Linked DNA regions of Arabidopsis thaliana. The protein of the gene in region 2 purifies or fractionates together with the protein of the main gene of each other region. This does not show direct contact. Each region holds a gene or a part of one and is shown on either strand. Other genes may lie near its edges.

What was found.
Region 1: the proteins of AT2G32910 (region 2) and HON5 fractionate together in Arabidopsis thaliana (co-fractionation; one large-scale study listed by BioGRID). This does not show direct contact.
Region 3: the proteins of AT2G32910 (region 2) and AT4G31360 fractionate together in Arabidopsis thaliana (co-fractionation; one large-scale study listed by BioGRID). This does not show direct contact.

What each region holds. Positions count from the first base shown.
Region 1 is NC_003070.9:17,973,130-17,978,780, forward strand, and holds HON5 (high mobility group A5), read right to left. Parts: upstream 3,535-5,651; 5' UTR 3,173-3,534; coding exon 2,933-3,172; intron 2,848-2,932; coding exon 1,954-2,847; intron 1,418-1,953; coding exon 1,343-1,417; intron 1,250-1,342; coding exon 1,019-1,249; 3' UTR 513-1,018; downstream 1-512.
Region 2 is NC_003071.7:13,956,919-13,962,634, forward strand, and holds AT2G32910 (DCD (Development and Cell Death) domain protein), read left to right. Parts: upstream 1-2,148; 5' UTR 2,149-2,284; intron 2,285-2,732; 5' UTR 2,733-2,766; coding exon 2,767-3,951; intron 3,952-4,083; coding exon 4,084-4,200; intron 4,201-4,297; coding exon 4,298-5,071; 3' UTR 5,072-5,200; downstream 5,201-5,716. Other genes in the region: ATZW10 (centromere/kinetochore protein, putative (ZW10)), read left to right, coding at 5-134, 248-330, 469-552; AT2G32905 (B3 domain protein, putative (DUF313)), read left to right, coding at 1,507-2,148; PDIL2-3 (PDI-like 2-3), read right to left, coding at 5,584-5,716.
Region 3 is NC_003075.7:15,220,025-15,224,189, reverse strand, and holds AT4G31360 (selenium binding protein), read right to left. Parts: upstream 2,348-4,165; 5' UTR 2,246-2,347; coding exon 1,923-2,245; intron 1,514-1,922; coding exon 1,417-1,513; intron 1,280-1,416; coding exon 1,220-1,279; intron 961-1,219; coding exon 880-960; 3' UTR 563-879; downstream 1-562. Other genes in the region: FLA5 (FASCICLIN-like arabinogalactan protein 5 precursor), read left to right, coding at 1-352.

The DNA.
Region 1 (5,651 bases), on a different chromosome or scaffold from region 2:
GAATCTGGAGGAAGAAGAAAGAAATTACAAAGAGAAACTTGGCGGAGAAGAAAGATAAGAGAGATAGAGATGGTTTTCGCGGTTAGAAGAAGAAGGTCACCACCATGGGCTAGAGCTTGGAAAGAGTAGAAACGAACGACCGAGAGGTTCAGAATCAGTTGCGTCAACCGATATGGGTCCACCTTTACTCCTTGTTTTTATTTTTATTTATCAACATTTCATTTTTCTTTTTAATTCACAGATTTTTAAAATAAATCACGAATATTAATTTTTTGGTATTATAGTATAACATGCAAATGTGGTGGTGATTTCTTTTTAACTTTTTCAAAAAAAAAAGTTGATTTATAAAACCAAAATCGAAAAATACACTACTTTATTTCAAATTCAAAATTTTTTTGGAGAAAAGTATTGAAAACTTGTTAAAAAAGTGTTTATCGAGTAATAAATTTAGAAATTTGGTTAAATGGTGTGTGAGTGAAGAGTAAAACCGTTCTATACCTTCTACCTAATTTCTGCAATAAGTACACTTAAAATTAAAACCGGATTTCAAATTAAAACAGAGCAACTGACATAAGCAACTTTTATTTAATGGTTTTCTAACTACATAACGTAAGAGACTTGAAGAAACCATCATAAAAAGTAGAAGTGGTCATAAAAATTACATAAGCGTTTTTGATAAACATCAACAACAACTCCTAAAAAGCCTAAGGAGACAAAATAGAATAAGAGACACAACAGTCTAAAAAAAACACGAGGGAACAAAGAACAAAGCTGCCTACACAGATATGGACGATGGAGAGAGATGGGAAGCATGAACAATGGTAACATCCTAATTCACTTTACAGACATTACCCTACCTCTCCTTGTTGTTTGGTTAGAGACACAATCATCATCATCAGTTCATCACATTGTTCTTTTTGTTTTTCTCCTGCAAACACCCTTATAAGATTAAAAATTTCATGTAACACACAACAAGTAAACCCACCACTTGCTAGCTTTTTATGTCAAGGCTTTATCTTTAGAACAGAGCTTCTTGCATTGCCTCTGCTTCTGTCTGTCCTTGACCCTCTGCTTCTGGTTCGGTTTCAAGGTGTTCCTCGTCTGGCAGCTGCACTTCTTCCATGTGCTTTGGCTCGTTTGTTGTCTCTGCTATCCCTTCCAGGTCCTGTATGGCTTGAACCACTGCTTGATTTCCACTTCCTCCTATCTCGGATTTCAACACAATTACAATATCCTTAGCTCTCGCTTGCTGCATAAATGAGATATCAAAACCAAGCATAAGCAATTAAGTATCAAAACCAAGGACGGACCATATTGTGTTTCTGTTCATTAGATTACTTACAAACAACTCAAACTTCTTCTTCAGTTCTCCATAGTCACCATCTTGTCGTCCAGAAGCTCCCACTGACACCGCATTCTATGTTTATAAATGGCAATAATATAAATGTAATTAGATAACTAACTCATCAATATAATAGACAAAGAAATTCTAGTGGACTTGGAAATACACAAACTCTTGAACTTTGACTGAATTAACTAAATTTCTGCTTAAAACAGACAAAACTTGATAAGATGTCTGTCTCAAAAGATAAGTTCATATGTAATTCTCACACTTCAACTGAACAATTATTGGTTGCTAAAGCGAGCCACCTACCAAGTTGCTCTTGATTACCAAACAAAGAGATATCTTAGATTAATAGTACACCACAAAACCAGATTAAGTATAGGCCAAAAGCAGAGACACGAATATAAATTAAACTCTAGAATTTATTTAGTTAGATACTCTCTAGTCTCCACACACACGCTCGAAAGAGACAATGTTGAGAATGGAAAGTGACATTTATTCACAAGACAAAAGTTCCAACTTTTATTCTCTTATCTATTTGACTAGAAATATTCAAGTTCTCTATAATCACTGTGTAATCGCAGAGACAAAAAGGAATGATATTTTACCTTTCTGGGTCTTCCTACGGGTTTTCCAGTACGAGCAAAGCTTCTCATCGGCTTCATAGGCTTCCTGATAACACCTCCAATCTTAGGAGGCCGTCCTCTTCCTCGTTTCTTGACTGCAACCTCCTCTCCTCCACTCTCTACGTTAGTTGGTGGTGGTGGTGGTGGAGCAACAGAGGAAGCACCACCAGCGTCAACTCTCTTTGGTCTCCCTCGGCGTCTAACACCACCATTAGCAACATACGGGAACACTGAAGCTGGAGCTGAGACTACTATAGGCTTTCTCTCCCTCCCAGCAGCTCTTCCACTCGGAGGTCTACCTCTTCGTTTCACAGTCTCCACACCACCGGAAACAGAAGCAGCTGGCTTCACCGTCGGCGAAGTTCCATCTTTTCTAGGACGACCCGGCGGTCTCTTAACCGGCTGCTGTGGCTGTAACGGTAACTGTGGCGGCTGTATCTGTATCTCCTCTGGTCGAGAGACAGGTAATTCACTCTGTTCCCAGGTGAGTTTTCCATTAGTCAGAGGTTGAGGTTGAACAACATCTGGTTTAGCTTTTGGAGGTCGACCACGACCACGTTTAATAGTCTGAGGAGTAGAAGAAGCCAAAACCGGATCAGGTAAAGGTTGGTTCTCGTTGACTATGAAATCAGATCTGGGAGGTTCAAGACTAGGAGCTACACTAGTAGGAGGAGGAGGAGGAGGAGTAGAAGCAAGCTTGTAAGATTTCTTAACCATGACAAGAATCCCACTGGTCTTCAAAGTCTTGAGATGGTGTGTCAACAAAGCTCCATGAGCAGTAGGAATCCCAGTGTAAATTCTCTCTATGTACCTCGAAATAGCTTGCTTGCTTGACCCATCTGGTTCGTTTAACGCTGCAATCGCCGTGCAAATCATCTAATCAACGAAAAAAAAAAGTGAGTGGAAATTAAAAACCCTAACTTTAAAGTCAAAATGTAAGAATGAGCTAAGAAGAGCTTACGTCAGAGTAAGGAGGGTGGGAAATAGATGGATGAGGAGGAACTGGAGATGTTTGTGGCTGCTGCGGAGGAGCTGCTTGATAGAGATGGATGTTGTTTGGCGGCGCGACGGCGGTGGGTCCGGTGAAGAAGGGGTGGTTTGGAGAGGCGAAGGGGTTGGTGTTGGTGAAAGGAGGGAAAGATGTGAACTGAGGAGGAGGAGGATGATGAGGATCATTGGTTGCAGAGAGAGAAGGATCCATGGAGGATTTAGTGAGAGAGAAAAAATACAGAGCAAGGAAGGTGATGAGATTTTTGATTTTTAGTTTTTTTTTTTTGTTTCGGTTGTTTTAATTTTTCAGATAAAATTAAAAAAGTTTTGTGGAAGGAGAAGATAAAAAATAAAAAATAGTTAGGTTGGAGGAGAGAGAGTGTGTGTAGTAGTGTAAGAGAGAGATCGAAAATGACGACAGATGAGATAGTTAAAATCTGACCGTTGAAAGTGTATTTTGGTGCTGATTTACGACACGGATCGATGACGTGGCGTTTTTTGCTTTTGTTATTAAAATTGAGTTTTGTGTTTCTTTCAATTTTTTTTATATGTTTTTCTGCTTCTCTATTCAAGTACCATATTAAACTATATGTAAACATTTTTTTTCTAATTCTGAAAGTTTTTAAACATGCTTTCATTTCTTTATACTAATAAATTTCTAGAACAAGATTTTTTATACTAAATTCTCTACTTAATATCGGTTTACAAAAAAAAATGTATATTTCTAACCAATCAGTTTTTCATATTCTTTATGTTTTAACATTTACTTGGATTATATGATGTGCACTAACACCTTCTTCATTTTCTTGATCACTATCTCACTCTAATTCAAAAAAAAGAAAAAGAAAATCTCCAACAGTTAAAAAGTGCTATTATAAACACGTTAATACTGTTTTAGGTAAAATAAAACTCAAATTTTAATTCACTTTTTGTTTTAAATTTTTAATAGCTAATTTTATTGACTTTTTGAAATAAGACACTTCGTTAAGTTGCTTAACGAAATAAATTTACAACGCTAAATTTTCATCGAGATTCTTTGTTAAACTACGCAAAATGACACTAATATGATTTAAAAAAATTAAGCTCAGAAAATATATTTGAACTCCTTATTCATTTTTCAATCCATATATACATAACCAATAAAGGTAAGTTGAATTTTTTCACACCACAAACATTCAAATTTATATTCTTTAATATAAACTTTCTAAAATAAAAAGTTTAGATTTAAATCACCATAGTCTAATTGGGTTACTCTCTCGTCATGGCTGATTTAAATTCTCTTGTATAGCCTTTTCATTTTGTGTTTCTTTCAACTTTTTGTTTTGTTATTCTAATTCTCTATTCATGTACCATAATAAATTATATATAAACAATTTTCTTATCTAATTTTGAAAGTTTTCAAAAAAGTTTTCATTTTTTATATTTAAAATTTTTCTAGAATAAGATTTATAATTTCATTATCTACATTTATAACAAATCATTTTTTCATATTCTTAATGTTTTAACATTTATTTGGATTATGATGAACATTAACACCATCTCATACTATGTCCTCGTAAATGGCACTTCCTATGAAAATTGGAAGCTTTCATGGAGAATTCGACAAAAGCGATGATTTGTCTTCATATATTTTTATTCTATGTGCAGAGATTTTAAGTCAACTGATCATCAAAGTTGAAACAAATGGTGGCATCGAGAGCATACGCATCGCTCAGTCTGTTCCTACGGTTAATCATTTCTTATTCGCCGATGATTATTTGTGTTTTTGCAAAGTTGCAAAACAAAAACTACTGGTTACAGTATATATATATATATATATATATATATGTGTGTGCCAATTATTATAAGTGTTCAACTCAAAAGGTTAACTATGAGACATTCTTAATAATATTTGAATAAAACGCATATTCATAGAATCCTAGAGATAACAAAAATTGGAGGAGGAAACAAATATTTGAGTTTACTAGAGCAATTTGGAAGAAAACAAACGAATTATTTGAGTTTGTGCAGAATAAGCATGACATCTAAAGGGCCAAGTCTCTATTCTTCACTTGAGATTACGCTAATTGGAGATGTTCAGGGATTCTATGGACTGCTCTATTCAGCCTAACGAATGATCTTAAGTCCAAATCTCAATAACTCCAAATCATTCTGTTACATATATCCGACTTCTACCTTTTGGGATGGTTTGGCGCATCTGGAAATTGAAAAACGATATAATAATGTTTAACCATAAATATTATCAATCTCATAGGTCTACAATGTAACAATGATGTCCACAAATGGATAAATGCCCAAGCTGACTAAAGTCAACAAATGCAACCAGGTCCACCACAACACAAAAATTTGGGCCGAATGTATCATTGATAGCAAGTTGAGAAACCTCTAAACAATGAATATAAGCAAGACACTACTTGGTGAACAAGTATATTACCTTTTAATAAGTAACTAAACAATATTAGCCTTAAATTCCTCAAACTCAATAACCATCATTATATGTATCAGAACTCCTATAAGTATTCCCAATCCGGGTCATCTTCAAATGGAACTCTTTGGCCGTTATCTTTCCATCACCGTCAATATCACAAAGAGCAACGATCTCTTCACTACATAAAATAGTCTAAACCCGATGATTTTTATCTTTGGACATTCATCAGAAAAAATTCATTATCACTAGAACATATGTATAT
Region 2 (5,716 bases):
TCAGCTACAAAAACTGATTTATCTCATGTTGAAGAATCTATCTTCTGTACTCGATTCCGTGAGATCTGCAGATGAGACTTCTCGTCCTCTTGATGATATCATACCATCTTTGCGCAAAACCCGTAAACTAGCAGGCATGTCTTTTCTTTCTTTTTTCTTTTAAATATCCCTCAGTTTATTGCTAACTTGACATTGGCGCAGCGAAGTTTTCTTACCATGGCTTTTCTTATTGTTTATCATTTTCCAGAACTATTGGATATGCCTCTCATGTCTATAACTTCAGCTTGGGAAAGCGGGGAGTTATTTAGATGCAATTTCACAAGAACAGAGGTACAATCTTTTTAAATCGTTTGACCTCGTGTCCTACTACCTGATATATGGATTAAGGCTATTTCTTATGGTGATTATTGGATCTTTGATTATTGGTTATGGTGATTCTGAAAGCTTTTGGAATGTACTTGGTTACAGGTACAAGATTTCATCAAAGCTATATTTACAGATTCGCCGCTGAGAAAAGAATGCTTATGGAGGATAGACGAGGTTAACCAGTAGATTGGAAATGATAAAACTTAAAAAAAAAACTCAAGACTTGTGAGAAGAAGCAAGTGAAAGCCTATTTTGGCAAAAGAGCCATGAGGTATTTTAATGTCAGCAGCTTGTAACATCGACGACGCACTCTTGTGTAAGAATATATATGTAAAGAGAGTTTTAGCTGATGAGTTTAAAACTTTAGGTTTAAAAGCGTGTTCCAGATTTTGTTGTACATTTGGGCTTTAGATTCAACAAGTAAAACGCTCTGGGTAACAACAATTTTCCGGTACAAATTCTCCAAATATTGCATTTTCCAGTTAGCTAAAAACTTGAAAACCCTTAACTAAGAAACTAATATAAAAAAAATAAAAATAAAAAAGAAGAAACTGATAGGATATTGAAAACCGTAACACATGAAAACACTAAATATTTCTATGAAATTATTGATACAATGATTTTCAATGAAATTAAACTTTTGATATACTTATTCAAATATAATGTATGATGTGTTTAGATGCTAATATTATATTAAAAACTATTTCATAAACTAATATTAAGTTATGAACACTAGGAAAATATTTTGGTCTCATAAACCAACAAAATTACATTAAGAAATAGAGTTAAGAGACATTGGTATTTTTCCTTTTTTTTTTTTGTCGACATTGGTATTTTTCCTTATGTTGGCCACATGTTTAAAATGTTAACAAAATCACATAACGGTCATAATTAAGGGCCCGAAAAGGAAAAATTTCATTAGAAGATCTTATTAGATTTAGTGATCTATCAAGAACTTGAGATGACGTCATATATTTCTATTTAATAACACCACACATCTATCTATCTCTACCTTCTCTCTTACTTTCAAGTTTCCATTCTCACGCTCATTGTCTTTCCTCTAGCTCTCTTTCTTTCTTTCTTCTTCCCCATCTTTAGGTTTCTTGCGTACAACGTTACAAATTCTTTTTACAATTTCCCATGTCTTCCAGAGAATCGAAGAGAATGGATGAATCTGATGATCCTAGGGTTTCAGAGTCGAGTGAATTCTCAAACTTCGAGATGTTGATACAAGTCGCTGTCATGGTTTACGATCATGAGTACGGTACTCATGACGAACACAAGTCAAAGACCATTGACGAAGATACAGAGACAGAAGCAAGAATCTTTGGAGATACAATACCTAGAAAGAACAGAACTCACCGATCATCTTCTTCTTCTAACAAGACGATAACACCATGGACGCGTGTGATCGAACAACAGAGATCATCTGAACTACAAAACCCTAACCCGGAATCTGAACCTTCTTCTTCCTCTTGCGTTACCCACTTCAAGAAACGTCGCCACATGGACAAAGAAGAGAGTACTCGCAAGAGACTCAAAATCGATAGTCCTTTAGAGGTGGAACCAATTCAAACATCACCACCGGAATGGCTTTTGAAAGTAATGAAGAGAGAAGAGAACAGCTACAATCCAAAATTGATCTCAACGAGAAAACTCTATAAGACTGATCTCGCTAGTCTTCAAGCACGTCTCTCAGTACCTTTTAAACAAGTGAAAAGTCCAGACTTTTTAACAGAGGAAGAAACAAGAATCATAAAGGAACAAGCTTTCTTCCTCTAAACTCTTTGGTCAATTCCTTCTTCTTTCTATTCGATTGTGATAAGATCTTTCTAGAGATCTAATCAGAACCTTGTGCCGCGGATTTGGAGAAACATCATCATCATCGTCATAGAAATCCTGCTCTTTCTTCGATTCTGTAAGAGTTCTTCGAGCAGACTCTAGATTCGATTTGTTTTTTTCCTTTTCGGGTTTGTTTCAAATCAATCTCAATTTCAGGGTAACCAAAGTTTGAGCTTATTCATTTTGATTCTGCCCGGATCTCTATACATGTCAATTACAGTCTTTTTACATTTTCTTGATTTGGAAACCTTTTCGGGATTTAATTGATTAGCTTAAGATTACAAGTGATGAAAAAAAAGACAGAGACTTTAGCAAATGTTTTCTCTCATCTCTTAATTGCTGTCTTAATTACAATCTTCTTGTTTCAGTTACTGTTTTGTAAGACATTGACATTATAATCTACTTGTTTGGAGATTGGAATTATGAGAAGAGAATCTTTCTGATGCCAAATGTCATTGAATAATCATTTGCTAATGTTTCTTTTACCATATGATTCATGATCTCTTTTTCGTTTTATGTTGCAGCGACTAAGCTTTGAAATCTGCTTGTTCCTTGAAAATGGAACTACAAGATGCTATGAATGATGAGAATGAGAAAGCCCCTGAGGCTTCGGTGGTTCAGAATGATGAAGTTTCCGGGAACAATGGGGATGTAGTGGTTGAAGCTGAGGAAAAGGATGGGAATGAGGTTGTAGAACCCGTTGATTCAGGAAAAAGTAAGGCAGATGACGAGTTTGTTGAAAGTCTGTTGGATACCAATCAGGATTTGGCTACCTTCAAAATACCGGTAGAGGAAAATGATACGGAAAATGTGACTGTTGAAGAACCTTCTCTTCCTGCCTCTGTTGAAGCAACTTCTTCTGGAATGAAAAAGCCTCAGGGTTTACCAGCGAAAACTAAAATTGTTAAGAAAGTAAAGAAGCTGGTAAAAAGGAAAATTATAAAAGGCACTGCTGCTCAGGTGGCTGGTGAGGAGAATGTCATCAAGGAAGGTGAACAAAGTGGAGAGCCTTCTCTTGGCGAAAGCGAAAAGGACAAAGATTCAGAACCCTATCTTGGAGGAAACGATATGGAATTTCAGAAAGAATTAGCAGTAGCTACTCAACCTGCAGTTGATGTTAAAGTTGTTGGAGGGGAGCCTTCTGGTAAGGAAACACTAAAAGAGGTAAAGGGAAAAGCTAAGAGACAAAGGGAAAAAAAATTCAAAGGTACTCTTGCTCAGGGGATGGATAAAGAGAGTGCAATTGATAAGAGAGACGTCGGAGCTTCTCCAGGAGGAAACTTGATCGTAGCTAAGAAAGCTATTGACGGTTCTGTAGAAGCCAAAACTGGCTTGACTGAAGACAAGAGACGCAAAAGGAAGAGACCAACAAAACAGGTTAGAGATTCAAACAAGAAACTTAGGCAAGATGTAGTAGCTGGTGCTGATACAACAGAACAGGGAATGGAAGAGAGGAAAGAGCAGCCGGTTGACCCTGAGAAAAGAGAAATGGATGGGCCTGGGAAAGTAAAGATTGGTGGATTGATCTTCATGTGCAATACAAAAACTAGACCCGATTGTTTTCGGTTCAGTGTAATGGGTGTACAAGAGAAAAGGAAGGATTTTGTCAAGGGTATCAAGCCTGGGCTTAAGCTTTTTCTTTATGATTATGATCTCAAACTCCTCTATGGAATTTTTGAAGCATCCTCTGCTGGTGGTATGAAACTTGAGCGCAATGCTTTTGGTGGATCCTTTCCTGCTCAGGTAACATTGTGTGTCACCCATGTTTGTTAGCCGTTTTCCATTTGTACAACTTGTCTCGAAGATGATATCAGTTTTCTTTCGTCGGAATTTATTTAACTTACGGATCTAGATGATGATATTCTTTGGATTCAGGTGCGCTTTAAGGTTTTTAGTGATTGCATCCCATTGGCTGAGAGCCAATTCAAGAAAGCAATCATAGAGAACTACAATAATAAAAACAAGTTCAAAACAGAATTGACTCATAAGCAGGTGACCTTCATATTTTCATCATTTTCTCTAATTTATATCTTACTATTAACACGTCTTAATCACTCTGTTCGTCTCTTCTATTATGGTGTTCTTAAAGGTATTTAAGCTTAAAAAGCTTTTTCGGCCAGCTGCGATCCCTGCACAAGTTACCCACACCCAGCAAATCCCTGTTCCTCGTGATACTGACAGGAAAAGATCTGATAGAGACCGGTATGCCCCTGGTAGCAGTAGGGGTCACCCAACACGCAAACATGAAAGAAGACGTGCTTCACCTCCTCCACGCAGAGAAGAACAACCGCGTGATTTATATCTTAGTGAAAGGGAGTATCGAACATATGGCTTGAGAGGAGGAGAAACAACCCAGCATTACCAAATTCCACCTCCAGAATCCTCTTCTTCTTACCACATTGTCAACCGAGACCGTGTTCATTTGGATTCTTACCGTTCATCTATGGACCATGACCGGCTTTTGAGACAAGCAGAGATTGAGAGGCATGACCGTAGGGAAGTTCGTCACCCTCATTTGTCTGAGAGAGACTACCAGACGTATGATCATCTTACTTCTAGACGGGAAATCTTGGTTCGAAACTCGCCTGACCCACCAGATTCAGCGGTTACTCTGGATTCCTACAGGAGAGATCCGTATTACATTTGTGAGCGCCATGCTCTTGAAAGACCACCAAGGACATACATGGTTTCTCCAGGTAGACAAGATGATGACCTGTATTCCCGGTATGTAACACCGGATTCATTGGCTGAGTACTACCGATCATCACAAAGATACCCAAGCGTAACTGAACCTGAGCTTCCGCCTTCGTTAGTAACATCCCGGTATGCTTATTCTCGGTCTTTGCCTTATTCTCACCGCTGAAATCAGAATGTGTAATTCTCCTATTCCTTTGAATTTATCTGATGTTTAATGTATCTTGGATATGGATACTAAAGAGTTGCTGCCAAAGGGTTCGACTTAAATTTGGTCGTTATACCAGTGGGTTTCTTCAAATAATATCTCTTCTATCTAATAGATAGTGCTAGAACCAAGAATACTAGTCAATGATTGCCTGTTCATATTGCCAGAAGTAAGAGGATTGATACTTCATAGTGCTTAGTTGATATAAGAAGAAATCCGATATAGGTACTAAAATCCTCAAATCGACATGCATGTTGTGGATTGCTTCAAGGATAACATGAAACTCCACTGAAAAACTAGCAATGAACTCTAATATAACTCCAGCATAGATTCTCTGTTATGTGTCTATCGTAATACAAAATCCGTACATGTTCTATCTCTTGAAATGCTCTTACTTTCTTTTCAAAAATAAAAAAGGGTGAAATACATTCAGCGGTTCAGATCCCAAAAGTAGCAAAATCCCCTTGGATTCTTCACAACTCATCCTTAGAACCAACAGCATCATCACCTCCCATGAGCTCATCAAGTGAGAATTCATCTTCCTCAATCAACTCTCCATCTTTACCATCCCACTCCTTTGTCTTCACGATCTCTGGTGTTCCATTC
Region 3 (4,165 bases), on a different chromosome or scaffold from region 2:
CATCCAGATTACCATGCCAATAGTGGCTCCTGGACTCAGCCTTGCAATTTTCCCACCTCCACCACCATACGTTCATGTAGCTCCATATCCAACTCCCATGGATGCTTCAGTGGTTCCAGCTCCAGGACCAGCTGCTGATGACAATTCCCCAGATTCTGCTGTCCCAAAAACTCCACCTGCACCTGCAACAGACACACCAGAGGCTGATTCTCCAGCTCCTGCTCCAAGCGCCGATAATGAGAAGATTGAAGCTGCTGATAAGGCTAAACCATCTTCTTCTGCTTCTAAGGCTGGTTGGAGCTTTGATGTTATTCTCTTGTTAGCATTTTTGGCTAGCTTTGCTGGGTTCTAAGATTCGGGTGATGTGGGTTAAAGACAATAATGGTAGGTGAGATTCAAAACAATTTTTCTGTAGCTTTTAGCCAAGAAGAGAGACACGGCCATTGGAAGTGAAAGAAACCTAAATGTAATGAGCTTTCTACTCATCATGCATTGTATTTATCAGCCATTTTGAATGCAAATGTGATGTTTGTCCTATTGATTTTGTAACACAGTTCTAATTGTGTTAGAACATGCTTTAACCAGTGCATAGATTGTTAGAACCATGCATGGTCCCAACAACAAAAAACACTTATGCATCGGTTTGCTTCAAGCAACGAGATGAATAATAAACTAGCCTTACAAATACGAGTTAACCCCAAAAACTACAGAGATCCTTCTCTATCAACTAATCATGCATTGCCAAACGACGAGACTGCACTTACAGTGCTCATACCGAAACAATAAAAGTGAACCTAACAAATCTGACATTACTCTAGAAAGTCTTCTGCAGAAACCTAATTGATTAAACTGAGACCGAGGCAGAAACAAAGAACAGATTCATTTGACTTTCTTTATGATGTCCTCGATGACTTCTTCCATATCAAGTGCCTTCATTGGTGCAAATGGACGTTTCATCTCCTACAAAATGAGATAAACATAATCTACATCTTTAGGTCTATGTTAAGATTGAAAGGCAAAAACATATTCATGATTTCTACTCACAATAACACATTTCTCGTAATGAATAAGGATCAAGTTGATTTTCATTCTCATATGCATATAGAGCAAGTGGTGTTATGAGAATTAGTAATAACAATAAACCTTACTCAAACTGAACAAATCATATGCAGAAGCGAGACAAATTGAGATTTGTTTTTATTAGAATGAAAGTTTTTACCAAAAGACTGATGAATGTTTGGCCACCTTCCTCCCGGATCTCAAAGCAACCCCGCCTTGGCTGTTCAAGCACATCAAAAGAAAGAATTAGTAATTTAGAAGAAAATCTTATCAAGTATAATGTGAAAAGTATGCTCTAACGCATTAGTCAAAACGGAGCATTCATGACGATATATTCATCTGCAGTAAAAGCATTACCTTTTCAGGATTAAGAGACACCGTGACGCCAGGAACAGCTCCCTCCAAAGCTTCCTTCACCTGAATAGCTCTTGTCTTGAAAGCATTGCATTGTTTACTTCAATAACATCACAAAACAAAACAAAAAAGAACTCTTGTGAGACATAAGTATAGAAGCAAATTCCATTTATAGAATGAACACGTCCATTACGCATTGCAATTCAGCTAAAGCAAGACAAGAACACAAACAGAAAGCAGATAGTCAAGTCCTCTTCACAAATGCGAGCAAAACATAAACCACTAATCACTCAAACCAAAAACTTATGCAGAATCAAGATGAAAACCTAACACATTGTTCCACCCTAGCAAATAAACCTTAGCTGCTACACACGGACACACAAGTCTCAACACATACCCCAAAGTTGTAGGCTTTTAGATTCAATTTCAAAGAAAAAAACCTAAATTTTTGCTCTTATGATTCCAAACATTATCTCTAAAGAAATCGAAAACATTTACGCAAAAATTACCAGTGTTCTATAACAATCTTGGTTCTCGTAGGGTCCTCAACCTCTGGCTCTTCCTTCTCAACCTCCTCCTCAACGGCTTCCTCTGGCTCTTCAACTTCCTCTTCCTTCTTTCCCTTCTTGGCTCTCCCAGTCTCAATCGCTGAATTCTTCCTCTTAGCCTTCTTCGTCGCCGGCTTAGTGGCGGATCCAGCCGCTTTAGCACCGTTTTGTTGAGTCTGACTTCGAGTTCGACTGTCCATGCTCCGAGTCACTCTAGACGACGCCAACGTCGTTAAAGGTTTCGCCTTTTCTTCTCCATCTGCCTTACTCTTCTTCGGCGGCATTGTACGGACAGCAACAGGGTTTCGTCTTAACAATCTTCTTCTCCTTCTTCTCCGTCTCTGTCTTACCGCTCTTTCTTACTTTTTTGTTGTTTGATATTCCCTTTTGTGTTTGCTTTTTTCTTACCTTGGAAAAGTAATTCGAATAAACGGTAGAGATTTAACCTACAAGGGTTATTAAAAGGTTGACCGTTAGATTGCAGGGGTTATGATTATGTATTCTCAATGCCCAATAGTGCGCTACTGCTGTATCACACGACACATCCACGTGCTTCGAAACGCTGTGGTGTTTTGCCTCTAAAACGCACAACTACTTACCGTTTTGATTGGATAGAATGATTTTATTTTAATTCCACTTCTCTTTTTTACCTACATTATTTTGATTCCAATTCATTTGGCTTTTTCTAAACTCAAAATAAACTGAAACACTTTATCATATTTATTAAGAAATATTGATTTTCTGATACATAAAGTAAGATAAAAGTCTGTATATCCTTCTAGCTTTTTAGCATTTTGGTCACTGCGGACAATTTTAAGAGATTTTACTAAAAGTATCGTCCAATCCTTTTGTAGGTTTTTATGACTCAAGCCATCAATCCAAATTTCCAATATATGATGATAGTTGAAGTATTTGGATGTAGTAATGCTAAAATGTAATATGTTAATAAGTCGCATACTCATGGTGAACAAACATTCATCCATTATGGTGACATTTTTGTTTGTTTGTTTGTATAATAAAATGCAGGGGGAAGCTTTTGCAACAATGTGTGCATGTTGGAGAAATCTCAGTTAGCACTTTCACAACCAAGCTCCATGGGAAGATCTTTTGGACCTAAATATTTTAGAACTTGTTCATCACATCACAACCATCATCTTCAGTCTTCACTGTTACTCTATTTGTCTGTCTTTCACATATTAGCAAGTTGGTGAAATCTTGATTGGTTGATCCTGATCCCATAACAAATTACACTAATCTCACACAACGACGAACCCTCTTACAAGGTTGGTAGCATGCTAAACGTATGGAAAAATTTGGGAATCTTTTCTAAAAAAATAAGAAACTTGTATATATTTTTTTTCAACACAAACTTGTATTCTAAATCTACATAACGATGTAAAAACAAGTTGAATTTGTGGAATCGCTAACTATCAATGACGGGATCCAAAACCGGTTATTCAACATCGTCTTGTAAATTTATTATCCAAATTTCCATTGTTTAAAATCTGGTCTTGTAAATTTATTATCCAAACATAACCCAACATCGTCCATTATTATCCAACTCTGTCTAAACACTGAAACAAGAAACCGAACATGATCCATATGTCTAGAGATTTTTGAACTGTGGGTACCAAAGAAGGATCAATGTTCTAATCTCAAGTCTCAATCTAAAGTTTGAAGTCGTGGGTACCATTTTTCATCAACCAAAACATAAGCCAATCCAATCCAATCTTTTGTCTAAAGGATTGGTTACTTCGAACCTCAAGTCTCTGACTATTTTAAGCCGTGGGTAACTTGATCTTTGTCTAAAGACTGACACAAGAGACCGAACATGATCCATATGTCTAAAGATATTCAAGCCGTGGGTACCAAAAGAATCAATGTTGGAATCTCAAGTTTCAGTTCACTCGAAAGACTAAAGTTTAAAGCCGTGGGTACCATTTTCCTTGCACCAAACATAACCAAATCCAATCTTTTTGACAAAAGATTGGTTACTTTCGAACCTCGAGTCTCTGTCTAAAGACATAATGTTTTAAGCCGTGGGTATTCTTTTGTCTAAAGATTGAAACAAGACACCGAACATGATCCATATGTGTAGTGAGTTTCAAGTCGAGGGTACCAAGAAGGATCAACAGAAACTTGTATTATAAATCTACTTAACGATGGGAAGACAAGCTGAATTTTTGGAATCGCTAACGATCAAT